Linked DNA regions of Astyanax mexicanus. The protein of the gene in region 1 purifies or fractionates together with the protein of each later gene. This does not show direct contact. Links are inferred from orthologs where the notes say so. Each region holds a gene or a part of one and is shown in the gene's direction. Other genes may lie near its edges. The genes, in order: rcc1 and ranbp1.

Region 1 (8,918 bases):
CTGATTTATATATATCTGGTGTCCAAATACCTGGATGTTGTGGCGGGTATTTCATGTCAGTGCAGTTTAATCTGATTTATATATATATCTGGTATCCAAATACCTGGTTGGTCTGGCAGGTATTTCATGTTAGTTTAGTTTAATCAGATTTATATATATCTGGTGTCCAAATACCTGGATGTTGTGGCGGGTATTTCATGTCAGTGCAGTTTAATCTGATTTATATATATCTGGTATCCAAATACCTGGTTGGTCTGGTGGGTATTTCATGTGCAGGATATGTATCTTATATCGTTTTCATGTTCATGCACTCTATAGTGCTAATAACTTTATTCATATTCCTCAATAGCCTGTGTTACTCTTTGTACTGGTCCTGATATTCAGGGTACATTTACTCTGTTAGTTGTAAAATCTGTGTATTTTGTTTAAAACTGTGATTTTGTAGTAATCTATATTTATTTACTATGATTTTTCCCCAAATAAGTCATAAATCTTGTTATTGTTGAATTTCTTTGTGATAAATAAATGTATATATTTTTTTCTAGGTGGCGATCGTGTGAACAGTCAATCATGAAGATCCATCAGAACTTCTTCTGTACTGTCAAGAACACACTCAAGTGCCTTCTTGTCTTTTAGAGAAAAGTTGGTAAAATGTCCATGCAGTTTTTCCTCTTAATTCTGATACCAGCTCCACAGTAACCGAATACTAGTCTTTATTGCAAGTGAAAAACTTGCTGCATCGTAAACCTTAGACTGCAATGTACAGGGCCATCTCACAAAGTTACTATTTCAGTAATTCAGTTAAAAATGTGAAACTCGTATATTATAAAGATATATTACACACAAAGTGATCTATATTTTAAGCGTGTGAAATGAAAACCTAAAAATCAGTGAATCAGAAAATTAGAATATTATATAAGACCAATTGGTACTTTCTGCAGTGTGGGAAGTGTGCCAAGTCCTGCTGGAAAATGAAATCTGCATCTCCATAAAAGTTGTCAGCAGAGGGAAGAAGCATGAAGTGCTGTAAGATTTTGGGGGGAAACAAAACTGCACCGACTTTAGACTTGATAATAAAACACAGTGGATCAACACCAGCAGATGACAGACATGTCTCTCCAACCATCACTGATCATCAGTAAATTTTACATTTTATTTGGAAATCAAGGGAGAGGAGTCTGGAGGAAGAGTGGAGAGACACACAGTCCAAACTGCATGAGGTCTAGTGTGAAGTTTCCACCAATCAGTGATGGTTTGGAGAGACATGTCTGTCATCTGCTGGTGTTGATCAACTGTGTTTTATTATCAAGTCTAAAGTCAGTGCAGTTTTGTTTTCCCACAAAATATTACAACACTTCATGCTTCCCTCTGCTGACAGCTTTTATGAAGATGAAGATTTCATTTTCCAGCAGGACTTGGCACACTGCCCACACTGCAGAAAGTACCAATTGGTTTTAAATAATATTCTAATTTTCTGATGCACTGATTTTTGGGTTTTCATTGGCTGTAAGCTTCATAATCATCAACAATAAAATAAATAAATGCTTAAAATAGATCACTGTGTTTAATACATCTATATAATGAGTTTCACATTTTTAACCAAATTACTAAAATAAAGTAACTTTTCAAAGATATTACAATTATTTGAGGTGGCCCTGTACACTCTATAGCTAACTTCAAGTAATAATTTTTGTACACAGTACTTTTGATGTTTGATAGTGCACATGTAAAATGTTTAAAATAAAGTGTCTTTCTTTTAACTGGGTGAATAAAGTGACTATTTTTGCATAAGAGGTTGATTATCGTTGGTTAATATTTATATTGTGTAATATAGTAGAAAATAATACAACATTCAGTTTGAGACCACATTAGCCAAAATGTATTTATTTATTTTTTTTATTGGATACACTTTCATTGTTTTATATAATTATTTTTTCATGCATTAACTCTTTACACTGGGACTACAGTTATCCTGAGTCGGAACATAGTTTGCCTCTGTGTCAGATGTATGGGATTTAATACAATCTAGATATAAGGCATGAAAACAATGTTAACAATAAAAGTATGTTTATGAGCATATTGTTTCTAAACTCAAATAGCAAATGTATTAAATTCTGAAGTATACAAAAAGAGAACATTATATTGACCTAAATGTAGTTTCGTTGCGGAACATATTTTCCAGCTTTTTCTATCTAAAAAGGGCACAAAGTTCATTTACATTCTTTAGTCTCAGCAAGTGAGGGTTAGCATGTGCTGTGTCAAAATAAATAGTTGAATTAGCAAACTGTAATTGATGGAAACTATAAAAGGTATTGTCTTTAAAAAATAAACAACCTCAGGTGACAAAGTCTACAATAAAGTTATAACATACATCTTTAAGGTGTGTTTTTTTTTAACATAAAATGAAAAAGAAGTCTGATTAGAGTTGTTGGAAAACAGTGGTAGCAATGACATTTAAAAGCAGGGTCAGCGGATGAGTTAGTTGGTAGGGGCTGTCTTATATCTTGCACAAAGGGCAAAGGAACTCCTCCTCTTCAGGTGAGTTTCCGACACATGAATGGTGGAACCACTTGTTGCATCAGTCACAGGCAATCTAAAAAATCAAGCAATAATTAAAACAATTGATAACATGTCAGATTTTAAATGTATGTTTTCTGACCTTATTTTTGCATTTAAAATCTGTGACAACCAAATAACTCAAAATATATACAGAAACCAAAATTATCTTCATTTGTACCCATTTAGAAGCAGTAGCAGTGAAATAAATCAGATTAAACTAAACTAACATGAAATACCTGCCACAACATCCAGGTATTTGGATACCAGATATATATAAATCTGATTAAACTAAACTAACATGAAATACCCGCCACAACATCCAGGTATTTGGATACCAGATATATATAAATCAGATTAAACTAAACTAACATGAAATACCTGCCAGACCAACCAGGTATTTGGATACCATATATATATAAATCAGATTAAACTATACTAACATGAAATACCCGCCAGACCATCCAGGTATTTGGATACCAGATATATATATAAATCAGATTAAACTATACTAACATGAAATACCCGCCAGACCATCCAGGTATTTGGATACCAGATATATATAAATCAGATTAAACTATACTGACATGAAATACCCGCCAGACCATCCAGGTATTTGGATACCAGATATATATAAATCAGATTAAACTACACTGACATGAAATACCCGCCAGACCAACCAGGTATTTGGATACCAGATATATATAAATCAGATTAAACTATACTAACATGAAATACCCGCCACAACATCCAGGTATTTGGATACCAGATATATATATAAATCAGATTAAACTATACTAACATGAAATACCCGCCACAACATCCAGGTATTTGGATACCAGATATATATATAAATCAGATTAAACTGCACTGACATGAAATACCCGCCAGACCAACCAGGTATTTGGATACCAGATATATATAAATCAGATTGAACTAAACTAACATGAAATCCCCCCAGACCAACCAGGTATGTAAGCAAGATACTAAACAGATATGGTCACCTCAATCGAACTAAATTAGGTGTAATTTAAGATTCAGATGCCCCAACACTGCTGTACATTCAATAATATTGTTCAGCAAAGCTAACTTTGGGGCGTTTTGGAGCTTTACATTGATAAATAAATGGAATTGAGCCTCAGATATTACACAGCACCATAAATAAACACTGTTCTTCCTAGATTTTAATAATTGTATTCGTTACGTGCATTTTTTATTTCACAAACAATGTGTTTTAAAGCTTATACTGTACCTTTCTTGCTCCAGCGGTTTCTTTTTTCGGCAGCAGATTCACACCAGCCTTTTGAATTGTGCGGGTTCCTCTCTGCGCATGCTCCTTGACCCTATTCAAGTCCCTCCCCTTACGACAACAGCCTTCCCACAACTCCGCCCCCAAAAATACGTCATGCACGAAACCCCTGGTTTTTAGTGAGAGCCGTTTATCCAGATCTGTTTTAACATCAGCAGCTCCGACTAGCTGCCTGAACTTCCCCCACTGACCCTCCTTTGCAAGCTGATTGGCTGTTTCTCCTGAAAGGCGGGACTTTCTCCTTGAACCGGCTCCACGATTGGTTAAGAGACACAGAGCGGTCAGTGCCCTGTCTCCTCAATAATATATATATTTTTATTGTAATATAATACGGGACATTTACGGGAAAATACTAATGCGAGAGGAGGGCGGGAAAGAGGAGTAAAATACGGTAGGTTCCCGGCCAAAACGGGAGACTTGACAGGTATGTGGTAAATTCCCATTCAAAATGTATTTAATAAAGAGGTTTTATGTTTTAGGATGTACATCAGTTACTGTAGGTGTAATCTGGGCAGACGTAGTACAAGTCAAAAAAGTAAAAGTTGAAGTGCTCTTTAAACCCACCTTCCCTTAAAAAAAACATTGTAGATTAATTTGAGAAGAGTTCCCATAAGAAAGAGTCAGAAAAAATATAAAAATTTAGATTCAAATCAGACACACATACTTTTATGTACAAAGGAAAGGAGTATTCAGCCGATAAGAAGAAAAACATTTTTTAATATTTCTATAAAACAATATCGTTATCTGGTCTAATTTAAACAACATTTTAGTGAAGTAACTCAACTTCCTTACTATACATCTCTGAATCTGGGTCAGTGTGGCGAAGGGTTGCCAGGTTCAACAAAAATAATCAATCCTAAGTCAGTCTAAAAGCCACTTTCTGAAACTTAAACTAGCAAAAAATATACTGCCTGTCTGTCACACGTTTAACAATTAGCAAAACAACTATGAGTGTACGATTTATCAATATTGCTATGTACCTTAAAGTCATTATAACAGTTTTATATCCCAGTCAAACAAGACTTTTACTTACTCTATTTTGTTCTTGCCTTTTCTTTAGATTTTTTTTTAAGTAGCCTAAAAAATGCACCTCTAAATTTCCACCAGCGACTGGATTTTAAAACAAGCCCAAATTGACGGATAAAACGCGAACCTGGCAACTCTGGTGTGTCGGGTCTCCTCCGCTCCAGCAGGTGGTGTGTGTGTTCTGGTGTCAGGGAATAAATGAAAGCTCGAGGCGCTGAACTCGTTTTCACACTCAGAGGAGAGAGCGGGGAGACCGGGCTGAGAGAGACAGACGAGCCACAGACCGATACACCGCCGTTAACCTGCTGATTTACGAGGTAAGAGCACCTTTAGAACAGCACGAGTCTTACAGAGGAGCACTGCGGGCCGGCTCCCACACTGTGTACCGCCGCGCCTGCAGCCCGGGGCTGGGGATCATGCCGGCTAGCAGCTGCAGCTAGCCAGCGTTAGTTAGGTATGTTCAGTGACACTGGGGCTTTTAGCTACTGAACTAATGAACCGGCGAGCTGCAGTTTTCCCTCTTTAGTTTGAGCAGTAGCTGGTAGTTGGTGTTGCTGTAAAAATAATACATATAATACCGGAAGTTGGAGGAGTTTAGTGCCGCTCTGTGCTTTAGCTTGAGTTAGTTAACGTTATTTAGTTAGCTAACTGTACTGTAGTTAGGTTAGCCACGTTAGCCTGCTAACGCTAGCTCCTCCACAGACACCGACAGACCCACGTTGGGGGGACTGGCGCTGTTTAAACCTGACGCGGGATCCGTTTGTGCTCAGCTAAGTCTGTGTTAGCCACCGCCTGTCCCTCCCCGAGCCTTTAAAACGACTAAAAACACAGGAGCTGCCCTGTGTTGATCCCGTGGCCTGTTCACACATCCAGCACTTGTGTAGAACACGAGCGCCCGTCAGTCAGCAGCGCGTACTGCCCCAAAAGATCAACAGCTGTAACTTTACTCCATTAATGAATGGCACATTGAGCTCCAGCCTCCTGCTGCTGCGCTGTGACTGTACTCTACTGTACACACTGTCCTTATTATCCCAACAAATAGAGGACAAACTGCTGCCTGAGACTGAGTTCATGAATTACAGGAGGATCTCTAAAGGGAAGTTTAAGCTAAACGCGATAAAGCAGTCAACTTCTCTTAAACACAGGGGTGAACTTAATCAAATTTATACCTAGAAGAATATAAAATGATACCCTTGTTCAACCCCGAAGAGGAGCCCATGGTGACACAGGTGCGATACAGACACTTTAAAAGATGTACAAGGTTATTTACAGCCCTCTGTCCTTTACTTTATTTAACCCTCTCAGATCCTGCATCCACTACAGTGGACATGTAATTTTTGTTGTTGCACATAGCACTATTAAAGAGCTACTGTCCATCAGAATATACTATGAACCAGCCAATAAACAAGTTTATAAACCAGTGAATAAGTACAACTTAAACATGGCAGAATATAGCAAGATATAGTGAGGCAAGAAATTGTAATATCCTTTCAATTTTTTTATATATTTATATCTATTTTATATAGTATTCAACCACTAGCTGGATTGTTATAATTCAAATTTGAATGTAAAATAATTTAGTGTGAATAATTATTTGCCTATAAAACCTTATAAAACCAAAAGTTTCTCAAGACTTATCCTGGGTATATAAATAAATAAAAAAAATAATAATTAATGTGGGAATTCTGGGCCAATATCAATTATTACCAATGTATATTGTTTGTCTGCTGATTACAACTGAGATTTTTTCAATTTTTTTGGTTTTATTGTTATTTAGCTAGCGGAGCAAGTAAGTTTATCTCCAGTGCACCGCTTAATATCAAACCACTCTTTAATATAAATTCTTCGAGTTTTGTGCTTAAATTCAGCAACCAGGAACAGCTCTCTGAAGAAAAAAGTTATTTGATGCTCACAAGGCAAAGAAGACATTAAAGCAAACCATAGAAATCAGCTTCTACCATGTGGTGTATTAGGAAATTACAATTCAGGGAACATGTGGAGGATCAAAACGAGAAACTTTCTTTATTGATTGTTGTTTAATTAATTCATTAATTTTATTTATTTATTTCTTTTTTAGATTTTTGAGCTGCCATGCCTGCTAAAAAAGCCCCAAAGAGACAAAAAGAGGTTGAGGCGGAGGACTCTGCAGCCTTAAAAAAATTGAAAGGTAATATATACATATTTAAATAAATGTTGCTGGATTGTGATCTTTTTATAAATTACTTTTTTTAAAAAACACTTGTGCAATTGTCGTATTTGAATAATCTTCATTATTTTTGTGTTCGTAAACAGTGTCTCACAAGAGTCATGGACAAGAAAAGGGACTGGTCCTGGTTCTTGGACAGGGAGATGTGGGTCAGCTAGGCCTGGGAGAAGATGTGCTAGAAAGGAAGAAACCAGCTCTGGTGAATCTCCCAGAAAGCATTGTGCAGGCAGTGGCAGGGGGCATGCACACAGTTTGCCTCAGTGACACAGGAAATGTAAGTGTTTAGCTCTGCACAATTTTATTTAAAGAAATCTTAAAAAATTCACATGTAAATTTGTTATAGTGATGTTAGTGTTGTGGTGCCTCTTCTTTTGACAAGAGTGTTAGTGAGACACTAAAGCATATTTTCTTTCAAAAACAAAAGGTCGTATTGTGATTTTACACTTGCGCTATTCACAAATACATTGAAAAATGACATTTGTATGTTATTTGTATGATGTTTATCATCGTTGCAGGTCTACACCTTTGGCTGTAATGATGAGGGCGCTCTGGGTAGGGATACGTCAGAGGAGGGCACAGAGATGGTTCCGGCTAAGGTGGAGCTAGCAGAGAAGATTGTGCAGGTGTCTGCGGGGGATAGCCACACTGCTGCTCTGACGGAGGAAGGAACGGTCTTCGTCTGGGGCTCTTTCAGGGTAAGGCGTCTTTTAATCAAACAATTGTCTTTATTTAAAACATTTTTGGAAAGGCCACTTATAAACTAATTGCTGCCATCTGATGCACACCATTCTACAAACTGATTAAAGTTGGGTATAGGGAGAAGCAGGTGATGACCACACAATGAGGCAAAGTTATTCTGGACCAAATGTAACAAAATGAACATAGAATGTAACGGGCACAGGAACCTACTGCATCAGAGTTTTGTGTTGTGTTGTCAACTTTCCCAATCAAGCAGGTGATTTGCTTTCTATGGACAGTTATAAATGTGGTTAGGGTTTTGAGTATTAAATTTGTCTGTAAAAATGTCCTTTCTTTCTGTCTTTCTTTCTGTCTTTCTTTGTCTTTCTTTCTTTATTTATTTCTTTATTTCTTTATTTATTTTTCAGGATAACAACGGTATTATTGGTCTTCTTGAACCTATGAAAAAATGTACCGTACCTACCAAAGTCCCCCTGGACAAAGCTGTGATCAAAATTGCATCAGGTGAGGTTTCAGTTTCTTTGTTTCATATATAAAGTGCCAACACTGCACCTTCCATACTAATGAAACACTCCTGTCTCTGCACTAAAGGGAATGACCACCTGGTGATGCTGACTGTGAATGGAGAAATCTACACCTCTGGCTGTGGAGAACAGGGCCAGCTAGGGAGAGTCCCAGAGCGCTTCGCCAATCGAGGGGGCAGGAAGGGATTAAGTATGTGTTATCTTTATTTCAATGATTGCGTGAGATGTGCATAATTTCAAATAAATATACTGTACAAATGGTCTGAGATTTTATTTATTTATTCCCTGTGTTCTCCCTCCTTTTCCATTTAGTGAGGTTACTGGAGCCGCAAATGGTCATCATCAAGCCTCGAGGGAAGGTTCACTTCACTGATGTCTTCTGTGGGGCATACTTCACTTTTGCTGTTTCTAAGGATGGCCATGTCTATGGCTTTGGCCTTTCCAACTATCACCAGCTTGGTAGGTTATGATTACATTCAACGATGTGTCAAATCAAAGTGCCTATTCATATGGACTCTTTAAAAGATGTGTCAAGTTCCTTACATCACTTTGTCCACTATTTACTGTATGAAGTTCCTAAGTCACTCATAGCAAGAGT
Region 2 (9,329 bases), on another chromosome or scaffold:
ATATTACCCAACAATATAACTTAAAATGTAAATCTCATATACATAGAAGCATTTAGTAAGTGTACAGGGCAGAATATGAGCTGTAAAATGCATTTCTGGGCCTCCAGCTTGTTAGTAGAGGGTAGTTTGTTGTATATTTGCATAAAGGAAAAATTATTACATATTGTACCTTTAAAGTTTGGTTGTGAGGTGCAGAAATAAAGAAAAACTAAACAGGAAAAATGGATGAAAATCATACTAAATAGAAAAAAAAAATTTTACACCCAATTTTTTTATTTTTATTTAGCGTAAAATGGTCTAATTCAATGAAAAGTCTGAATCTGATCCTTCATAGAGTCCCCTTGGAAGTTGCAACCCCCAGGTTAAGAACCCCTGCTCTAGACCAGGTTAGCATAGGCTAATCACCTGTTATGCTAATTATATTAGCTGGCCAGTTTGTTTACAGAGCAGTTTAGAGAAGGAACACCATCAGTTTTAAGCCTAAAGGACAAAGAACGTTCCAGAAAGAAGGAAAGCAGCCGGAAGATTGAGAAAGAGATAAGATTCCTCCACTGGAGCGTCGCTATATCGAGCCGATACAGCAGAGAGAGGGGGGGTGGAGGAGGGTAGTAAACAGTGTGTGTAAGCAGAGGGGAGGGCACTGATATTTTAAAGTAATTTAATAATTCTGTTATAAACAGGTCGACTCGGGAGCTATAAAACGCTACAAAACCGTGGTTTAAGTGCTAATCAGGAGCACAGTGCACTGCAACAACAACACACACTTTCAAACAAGAGATTTCCAGTTAAAACAGACAAAAAAAATTACATTTTCAACAATTTAGTGGATTCAGAAGAAGTCCAGGAGCAGCTCACCTGTTTCTGACTGGGGCTGAAAAAAAGAAAAAAAATAGAGGAAAATTTGCACAGTTCAATTAGCCTTAAAATATAGATTTATATATATATTTGGTAATAGCTTTACACTGGAGCTTAAAAAGCTATTATAGCTAACTAGCAGTGGAAGGTTATCCCCCACCTATTAGCATAATGCTAACTGCATGTGTAGATTTTTATCTAATATCCAAATTTATAACTTGTTCTGCCCAAGTCTAAATCACAATTTAAATCCCAATTCTTGTCATACATTGATTAAAAATCGATAGCTATATTGATGTCTAGATTGATATTTGATAATGTGGACAAACAGAAACCACATTTGACCAGTGTAGACACTCAAATCAGATTTTAGCGAATCATTTATGTCAATTATTCACAATGCGACAAACAGCGACTTCACTAAATTCAGAGTAAGAAAAGTGTGAGGATACCTTGAAACAACAGAAGCACATTCAGATACAGAGTGGTGGGATGAAATAAAGATAATGCGATAATTATTGATACGTGGATCTTTAGTAGCGCAGATGCTGTGAGGAACCATACAGTATTATCCTCTGAGTTGAGTATCTAGGATTGCTGAATAATCAATATCATAATATTATCGTATGGTTAGATGCCCTGCAGATATGTTTGCGATGTCAAGACAGGCAAGTCCGATCCCATCACTCAACAGCAAATCAGAACATTATACATCATCAAATCTGATTTAAGGAACAAATCCCATTTACATGCAGTCTGAACACCATATACACAGCCATATATGATTTAGTCTTTATTATTTGGTTACATTTTAACATTGATATAGCCCAAGATTCTACTGCAAAAATACAAGAACAAACTTCAGATTAATGTCTACACTAATTGAGCACCTTTCGATTCCAAGCTGTTACCAATCTGAATCCAATTTTCGCTAAACTGGTTAGCTTACGAAAACCTCTGAGTTTCGTAGCGTTGGCTCCCCCTACAGGAGTTAGGAGGTAGTATTTTTTTTTATTTATGTTCGCGGATGTCTTAACAAAGTAAAACAACAAAAGAAAAAGAAGAAAAAAAAGAAAAAGCAATATGCTGCACAATTAGGAGGGTGTGTGATTTCTCTTATAGAGGGATGGAGGGGTTATAAACAAGTGCAAAGAGGAGGAGAAGGAGTGTGGGGAGGGAGGGAGGGAGGTTTTGGGGGGGTTTGGGGGTATTTAAAATAAAAAGAAGTATATGTATATTTAAAAATAAAATAATAAAATAAACTCTGTGACTTGCGAGTGCAGTCTGAGGCCTATTGCTGTGTTATTGGTGTTTCAATTTACATAATGTAACATTGTTCTTCTTTTTCACAATTAGGGATATTGTGTGTTTGATATATTGTGATACATTCTGCGATGTATTTAGTTGAGTTAGTTTTGTCCGGTTTCATACTTCAGTTCAAACTTTACTACACCCTTTTAGTCCTCATCTCCTACATAGGCGGAATCTCCCTATACTAAACACACACTGATTAGTTTGTAAAATTATGTATTATTATATAGATGTATTACACACAGAGTGATTTATTTTAAGCGTTTATTTATTTTATTGTAAGTGATTATTGTTTACAGCCAATGGAAACCCAAAACTCAGAGTCTCAGGAAATTAGAATATTATATAAGACTAATTGGTACTTTTTCCTGCTGGAAAATGAAATCCGCATCTCCAGAAAAGTTTTTCTCAGCAGAGGGAAGAAGCATGAAGTGCTGTAAGATTTTGTGGGAAAACAAAACTGCACTGACTTTAGACTTGATAATAAAACACAGTGGATCAACATCAGCAGATGACACGTCTCTCCAAACCATCACTGATCATCAGTAAATTTTACATTTCATTTAAAGGAAATCAAGGGATCAGAGTCTGGAGGAAGAGTGGAGAGACACACAGTCCAAAGTGCTCGAGGCCTAGTGTGAAGTTTCCACCAATCAGTGATGGTTTGGAGAGTCATGTCTGTCATCTGCTGGTGTTGATCCACTGTGTTTTATTATCAAGTCTAAAGTCAGTGCAGTTTTGTTTTCCCAGAATATCTTACAGCTTTCCTCTGCTACTGACAACTTTTATGGAGATGCAGATTTCATTTTCCAGCAGGAGTTGCACGTTGCTCACACTACCAAAAGTACCAATGTTTTTTTTTTTTCTGAGACACTGATTTTTGGATTTTTATTTATTTTAGATTTGGAATTGAATCCCAGTCTCCCCCATGGTAGCTCACTGGCATGCAGTGGTGGTATCCCCACAGCTATATTCTGCACTGGTCTAAATCTAAACTGGTCAACCAGTTTAACCATGATTACCAGCTTAAACCAGCCTGGATGTTTTTATTTTCAGCAGGGACACATCATTTCCTGTACGGCTCAGCTGACCCTCTGTTATCATCATCCTCCGAGCTGGGCTGGACGTCCTCCACAGCTATATACACACAGTTCGACCTGGACTACAGTGTGTGTGTTTAGTTATACTGGTGGGAGTATGATATATCTCCTTTTCTGCCCTCTGTTAAAGAAAGGACAGATATAAACAGAGACAGGCCCTGTACTCCCAGCATTCCTCCTGCCTGCACCCCACAGGCCAGTTCTAATACTGGTTATACTGGGGCTTTTCTGTGTGCACGTGGCGCCCCCTGTTGGATCTCAGAGAGAGAGAAAAAAGGAATAAGGGTGATCTGAAAATGATGTCCTTTATGTTCTTCAGGCTTCAGAGATCTCTCTCTGAGAGTTATATAACCCTTATAACCCTCACAGGCATGCAGTGGGTGAGGGGTAGTTTATGACCTTTATGTGCATGAAAGTATCCATCCATGCATTTATTCTCATACTAATGATTTTATCCATCAGTCAGTTTAGATGTGGGATTATAACGATGATAATTTATTAGGGTGATTACAATATTAGAGTGAAATCATTAAAATTTACTAGAGAAAACTGTTTAAAATAACTGGAGGAGACTATATACTTTAAACCTGTTGTTTATTCACAGTCATTGTGGATTATTGTGTTAGCTGTAAAGCTAATCTAGCTAGCTAACAAATAATACTTGTTACATAATGGTGTATCAAATGGACAAAGACACAGTTACAAACAGTATTTTTATACATAAGAACTCCATGCTGTGTTCTTTTACTCTGATGTATAAAAGATTTACTTCTATTTGAGCATCACCTTTAAGCAACTTTACCTGTGGACTGGAGGGTCTCTGATAAGCTAAAAACGTTTAAATCTTAGAAAGTATATCATTAAACAGAATTTTAATAATGAAAATATAACAGTAAACAGTAAAATCCCCTTTCCCAATTAAACACGAATGTTTATGCTGTTATTGTCTGATACTTTTTTTAAATTTAGTGTGATAATGCCCTGTACCCTTGGATCTCTGATCCTAGAATCACCTATTATCTATCTAAATTATTATACTTCTTCTGATATGACCCACTCACCTCTCATGGGGCGTACAGGGGCCTGAGTTCCTCAAACCTTGATTCTTATAATGCATTTCCATGACTTATTAAAAGCGTGGGAACAAGATAATTAGGTCGTGGGGATGACTTATATGGCCAAGAGCTATTATTTTTTCAGTTCCCAAGCCTTAGAGAGTTACTAAACCCTCTGATTTTAGCTGACTCCACCCTCAGCTCAAATTATATAAATGCAAAAAACAAATGGGAGTGGCACTGTGTGATGTATGGGTTTAGAGGCAGGGCAGAAGGGAGATTTGATTGAGCTGAGCAGTGTGCCTCTGATAACCAAAGTACATGATAACATAATCCTCGCCTATAGCACGAAGGAGGAAATGACTGCAATAAAAGTGTTTTTTTAAAGGTTTATACATTTTTTTCAGCTATAAATGAAAAAATATAGTATAGGGTTTTGTGCCTTTTTAATAAGTTGTGGCCACGCATTTTCATTATTCATTATTATTATTATTTTTACATGATGTCACTGAAGGTGCGTCATGCTTGTGTGTTACTTTCTGTGCTCTTACCGCTCACTTTACTACGCTAAAATCAAAAGTACAAATTTTATCGATTTGTTTTACGTTTATTTAATCGATTAATGGAGATGTACGTAATCTACAAGTGACGTCACCGCCGGTGCCGGCGATGACGACACGCCGGTTCAGTGCGCGCGCGAAAGCAGGAGCATTTTCTCCCTCCCTCTTCCCTCCTCACGGCCGGAGCGAAAAACATCCACTAAAACTCAACAATCCGCAAACATCCACAAAACTATGGCAGATCCTAAGGTAAGGACGGTGTTCTGGGGAACGTCTGGGGGTCCTGCGGCCGTCTGCTGCGATTTTTAATCGTTAGGATGGTTTTAATCCGCCTGTTTTTGGGCTGGAAGCGGAGATGGTGAATAGTAAAAGCCGGCTGTTGCTTTACTGCAGCGAGCGGCCAGTCCGGCTACCGGACACGAACCCGGGCTAGCGGGCGGCGGGAATGCCCTGATATTTGTGGCGTTTTGTTGTTTTAGACGATTTTTAAAGCTGTAAAACTAATATGCGCTTTTTCCGCACTCCTACAGCTCGGTTTACCGCCTGTTTCCGAGCAGGTTAGCTCTGCTTTAGCCGCGGCGGCTAGCTAATGTATCTGTAAATAAATGAATAAATCGGTTTTATTAATTAAAGCTTCATTTTATTGTTGAATATATTGGCAGTCATTATTTGGTTAAAGTGTTAAATCCTTGTGTTAATGTAAAGGTACCTAAATAAATAAACTAACCTAGCTAGCTAGCTAACTAAGCTAACTACTATATGTCGGCTTGCTGCCTAAGCTAACGTAACTAACTAGCCGTTCTACCTTAAATGCTGGGCGCCAGAATGAAACCGCTGCGGGAGTTAACGTTAAGGTGGACCGGCTAATTCGAGCATCAAACCAAACTTCAACCTCTCAAGCTTGCGATTTTTTTAATTTATAAAGTTTTTTATATTTATTTTGATTTAATTGATTAAATAATTAAAGGCCCAACTTGAAATAGTAAGCTTAAATAGCAAACCTGTTGAGCACCATTAGCTAGCTCAAGTTAGCTAATACAACTGCAAGGCCTAATAAGCTAACATATTGGCTAAAGCTAATGAATGCTAATGGATAGCTTGCTGGCTTTTGATTCATTGATTGACGTTTTGCTCACTAAATAAAGTAACCAGTATCTTAACCTGCAGTGCACCTAAATGCAACGATGAGTTTGAATGAAAAGTAAAAAAGACTAATAGCTATGTTTTGTTTAGCATTAGCAGTTAGCATTAGCTTTTTAGCATTAGCATGCTCCTGGAGGAGCACATGGGCTTCAGATGACTGGTGTCCAGTTCAGCCCAGTACAGTGGTGGGTGGTTCTGAAGGTGCTGGGAGTTAACTGGTGGGGTTAATGAGGGCGGTGAAAGCAGGTGAATCACCATAATTGCTGGGTAATGTTGCTGGTCTTTGGCTTTGTTATAGGTGATGATCTCTCTTGGGTTTAGACAAAGTTTTGGACCACCTACAATGGATCTAAAGGAGAGGGAAAGTCTATTGTAATGGTGTGAGACTAGGCCTTGTGAGCCTGATTGGGTCTAAGATGGGATAAACTAGTTCATTTAATTCTAGGATGTCTAGGTTTTAAGACATTAGAATTAGGCATGAGCAAAATGTTTGGAACTTTCTTCATGGAATGAATAGGATGCAGAAGCTTGTGCATCCTGGTTTAAGTCGTGATAACAATCACTTGGCAAAGCCCTAGTAACCATCTGAGACTGTAATCTGGGAATCAATAAAATGCTTTAACATAAACATTTATAAGTTTGCAGTTTATAGATTATTTTGGTACTAGACTAGTCAACTAATCTGGTTATTTTTCCAATTAGTGAATGGCTATTGCAGTATTCAGTATTCTGTGACCATGGTCCACAACTAAGGCTCCAACTAATGATGATTTTGGTAGTCGACTAATCCGACTATTACTTTTCTGGATATTCTCAATTAATCAGCACTTATTTCTGCAAAGCCTTCCGTCTCTGCGTGCTGTGGGTACGGCCTCTGTAGACTTAAAACATTAGAAACAAGTGAAAGTGGCAATTAAATACCATCCTTTGACTTTGGAAAGTACTGCTATTTAGCGAGTAAATGTGTAATCTGTTGTGTTTGGACACTTTTGGAGACACAGGTTGAGGCTGGAACTCCGATACTTTGTGTAGTTCTGCAAATGAAAGATTAGTCATTGAACATTTGGAGTCGACACATTTTTTTATAGTCGATGCTGTTGATTTTTTTCAACTAATCGTAGGAGCTCTGTTCACAGCCTCACCTGCTGAAGACTGCACTTTTTGTGAATGTTACCCTGTTGTTCAGTCTCTGCTTTAATGTAACCCACTTTATAATCCAGTAGCATCCACATCAAATGTCAGAACAAGGCATCTACCTGCCAATGTGATCAAAACCACAGAAAATACAATAACAGGGCAACTTACCTGTATTCCATAGCAGTCACCATATGTTTCACCATATAACACTAGATAGCAACATGTTTTTTAGCTATTGTCTAGAAGTGGGAACCATTCTGCATAATCTTCTGGAAACATTTTATTTAAACATTTATTTTCCTACGCCCATGAGATTCACAAAATTGTGGTTCACTGTACTGAAACATACAGATTCTGCTTATTTTACAGTTATAATCTGGCCCAAAATGTGGGTTTACTACCTTACAACATACCACTTTTTGCTTCATACTGTGCTAGTAAGTGCTGTTGGCCAGCCATCGCCTCAATCACCACCTCACCTGCTGAAGTCTACACACCTGTGAATGTCACCCTGTTCTTCAGCCTTTAACTTAACATAAAACAAGTTCCCATAGCAAATTAAATAATGACTACCTGAAATACCAGGATAAAGCAGCCACCTGGAACACCAGATCAGCCTTTAGCTGTTCTAAGAAACCTATTTTGTGTGGAAACCAGATGGACAGGTGTCACATTTGGCATTCTAACAGTATCATATCATCTGTTGTCTTCCGTTTACCTTGGAAGTCAGATGTTGGAGCTAGAAATTTCACCTCGCCTGAGTTGGCAGCATTGTAGTTAAACATTACAATAAATTTGCACAATTTCAGAATGTTTCAAACAGTTATCTAAAGATAAATTGGTTTGGCATTCATTTATCAGTGTATTTTGGTGAATATAACCAAAATATCTCACTCTTCATGCCCCAGGTTAGCACCAGATGAGCGTCTAAAATTTCCAAAAGCCATGTTTATATGGAATGTAGCATTAATTGCATTCTGTGAATCAGAAAATTAAAATTTGTAAAGTTGAGTAGATTTGAGTAGTTTGATGGATCATCGTCTACCTCACGTTTTGGGTGTGGGGGGTCTCTGGCGGTGGGTGGGGTGTGGCGATACCCCCGTTAAACCCGGACTCTTCCGGTGCGCCGGGCGTTGGCGTGGTCCGGGCTCGTGGTTCAGTACCAGCAGGCGGGAGCCTGTCTGCTGCAGCAAATCAGAGACAAAAGCAGATCCACAGACTGAGCTCTTTAAATCCCCCCTGCCTTTCATTCTGCAGATCTACTGAACCGACGGGGCGTCGAGGGCCCCCCGGGGCCGGCTCAGACGTGTAGCGGCTCTCAGAGAAAGTGAAACCAATACCAACACTTTCTACAAAACTGGGGACTTTAGCGTGGTTCACCAGTAGTAGTGCACGTTTATAAGATTTCCACACCGATGAGCAAAGAGTAATGAGGGTTTTTAGTGGGGTTAGAAAGCTGTCTTTGGCTGTATTTTAGGTGAATTCTGAAGTTTTTTTTTATGTTTAGGTTGGTTTAGAGGTTTTGATTTGTTAAAACATTAAATATTTAAATAGGGACATTTTGGACTGATCCCGATATAGCGCATGTATTTAAACTTTAAAACCTTTAAACCTTCTTTTTAAATGAATAGGTTAAATAAAACAATAGATTTTATCGTAACAAGGCCAGCGTCACATACCATAAACACATCAGCAAGTAATGTTTTGACCAATCAGCCAATGCCAATGATTCAAAAGAAACAAAAAGCGCAAATAGCAGTCAATAAAAATGTTATAATCGATATTTTGATTGTGCATCCCTAAATTTAAGTTTAGCAATCACTATTAGGCTTAAGTTTTATAGCTTTCTGACTAAAAAAGAAGTTTGTTTGTTTGTTTACAGCTAGTATAATGATACTCACATGACTATGTTGATTTTGGTATTAAAGTAGTGTATAAACATTTTAAATTTGTTTGGGTTTTAGATAGTTTAAGGTTGAGTTTTGAGCTGTTTGAGTCAGTTTTTGTTCTATGCTTTTTAGGATTGTATAAAGGTTATATCCATTAATTAATAAACCTGTTTCATGCTGAGTTTAGACACCTGTCCTTTTCTCTTTCCTCCTAAAGGACACACAAGATGACCACGAGACGGCCACAGATAACGTAGACGACTCAAACCATGACCCTCA

The links.
Region 2: the proteins of rcc1 (region 1) and ranbp1 purify together in Homo sapiens (affinity purification with mass spectrometry; 3 studies listed by BioGRID and IntAct, counting the BioPlex papers as one, with this or other methods). This does not show direct contact. The link is inferred for Astyanax mexicanus from reciprocal best matches to the Homo sapiens genes RCC1 and RANBP1.

The regions. Positions count from the first base shown.
Region 1 is NC_064413.1:32,419,010-32,427,927, reverse strand, and holds the start of rcc1 (regulator of chromosome condensation), read left to right. Parts: upstream 1-5,072; 5' UTR 5,073-5,208; intron 5,209-6,968; 5' UTR 6,969-6,982; coding exon 6,983-7,058; intron 7,059-7,183; coding exon 7,184-7,371; intron 7,372-7,612; coding exon 7,613-7,792; intron 7,793-8,203; coding exon 8,204-8,300; intron 8,301-8,387; coding exon 8,388-8,510; intron 8,511-8,632; coding exon 8,633-8,779; intron 8,780-8,918. UniProt on the Homo sapiens protein: Guanine-nucleotide releasing factor that promotes the exchange of Ran-bound GDP by GTP, and thereby plays an important role in RAN-mediated functions in nuclear import and mitosis.
Region 2 is NC_064429.1:10,914,873-10,924,201, forward strand, and holds the start of ranbp1 (ran-specific GTPase-activating protein), read left to right. Parts: upstream 1-4,990; 5' UTR 4,991-5,115; coding exon 5,116-5,130; intron 5,131-9,267; coding exon 9,268-9,329. UniProt on the Homo sapiens protein: Plays a role in RAN-dependent nucleocytoplasmic transport. Alleviates the TNPO1-dependent inhibition of RAN GTPase activity and mediates the dissociation of RAN from proteins involved in transport into the nucleus.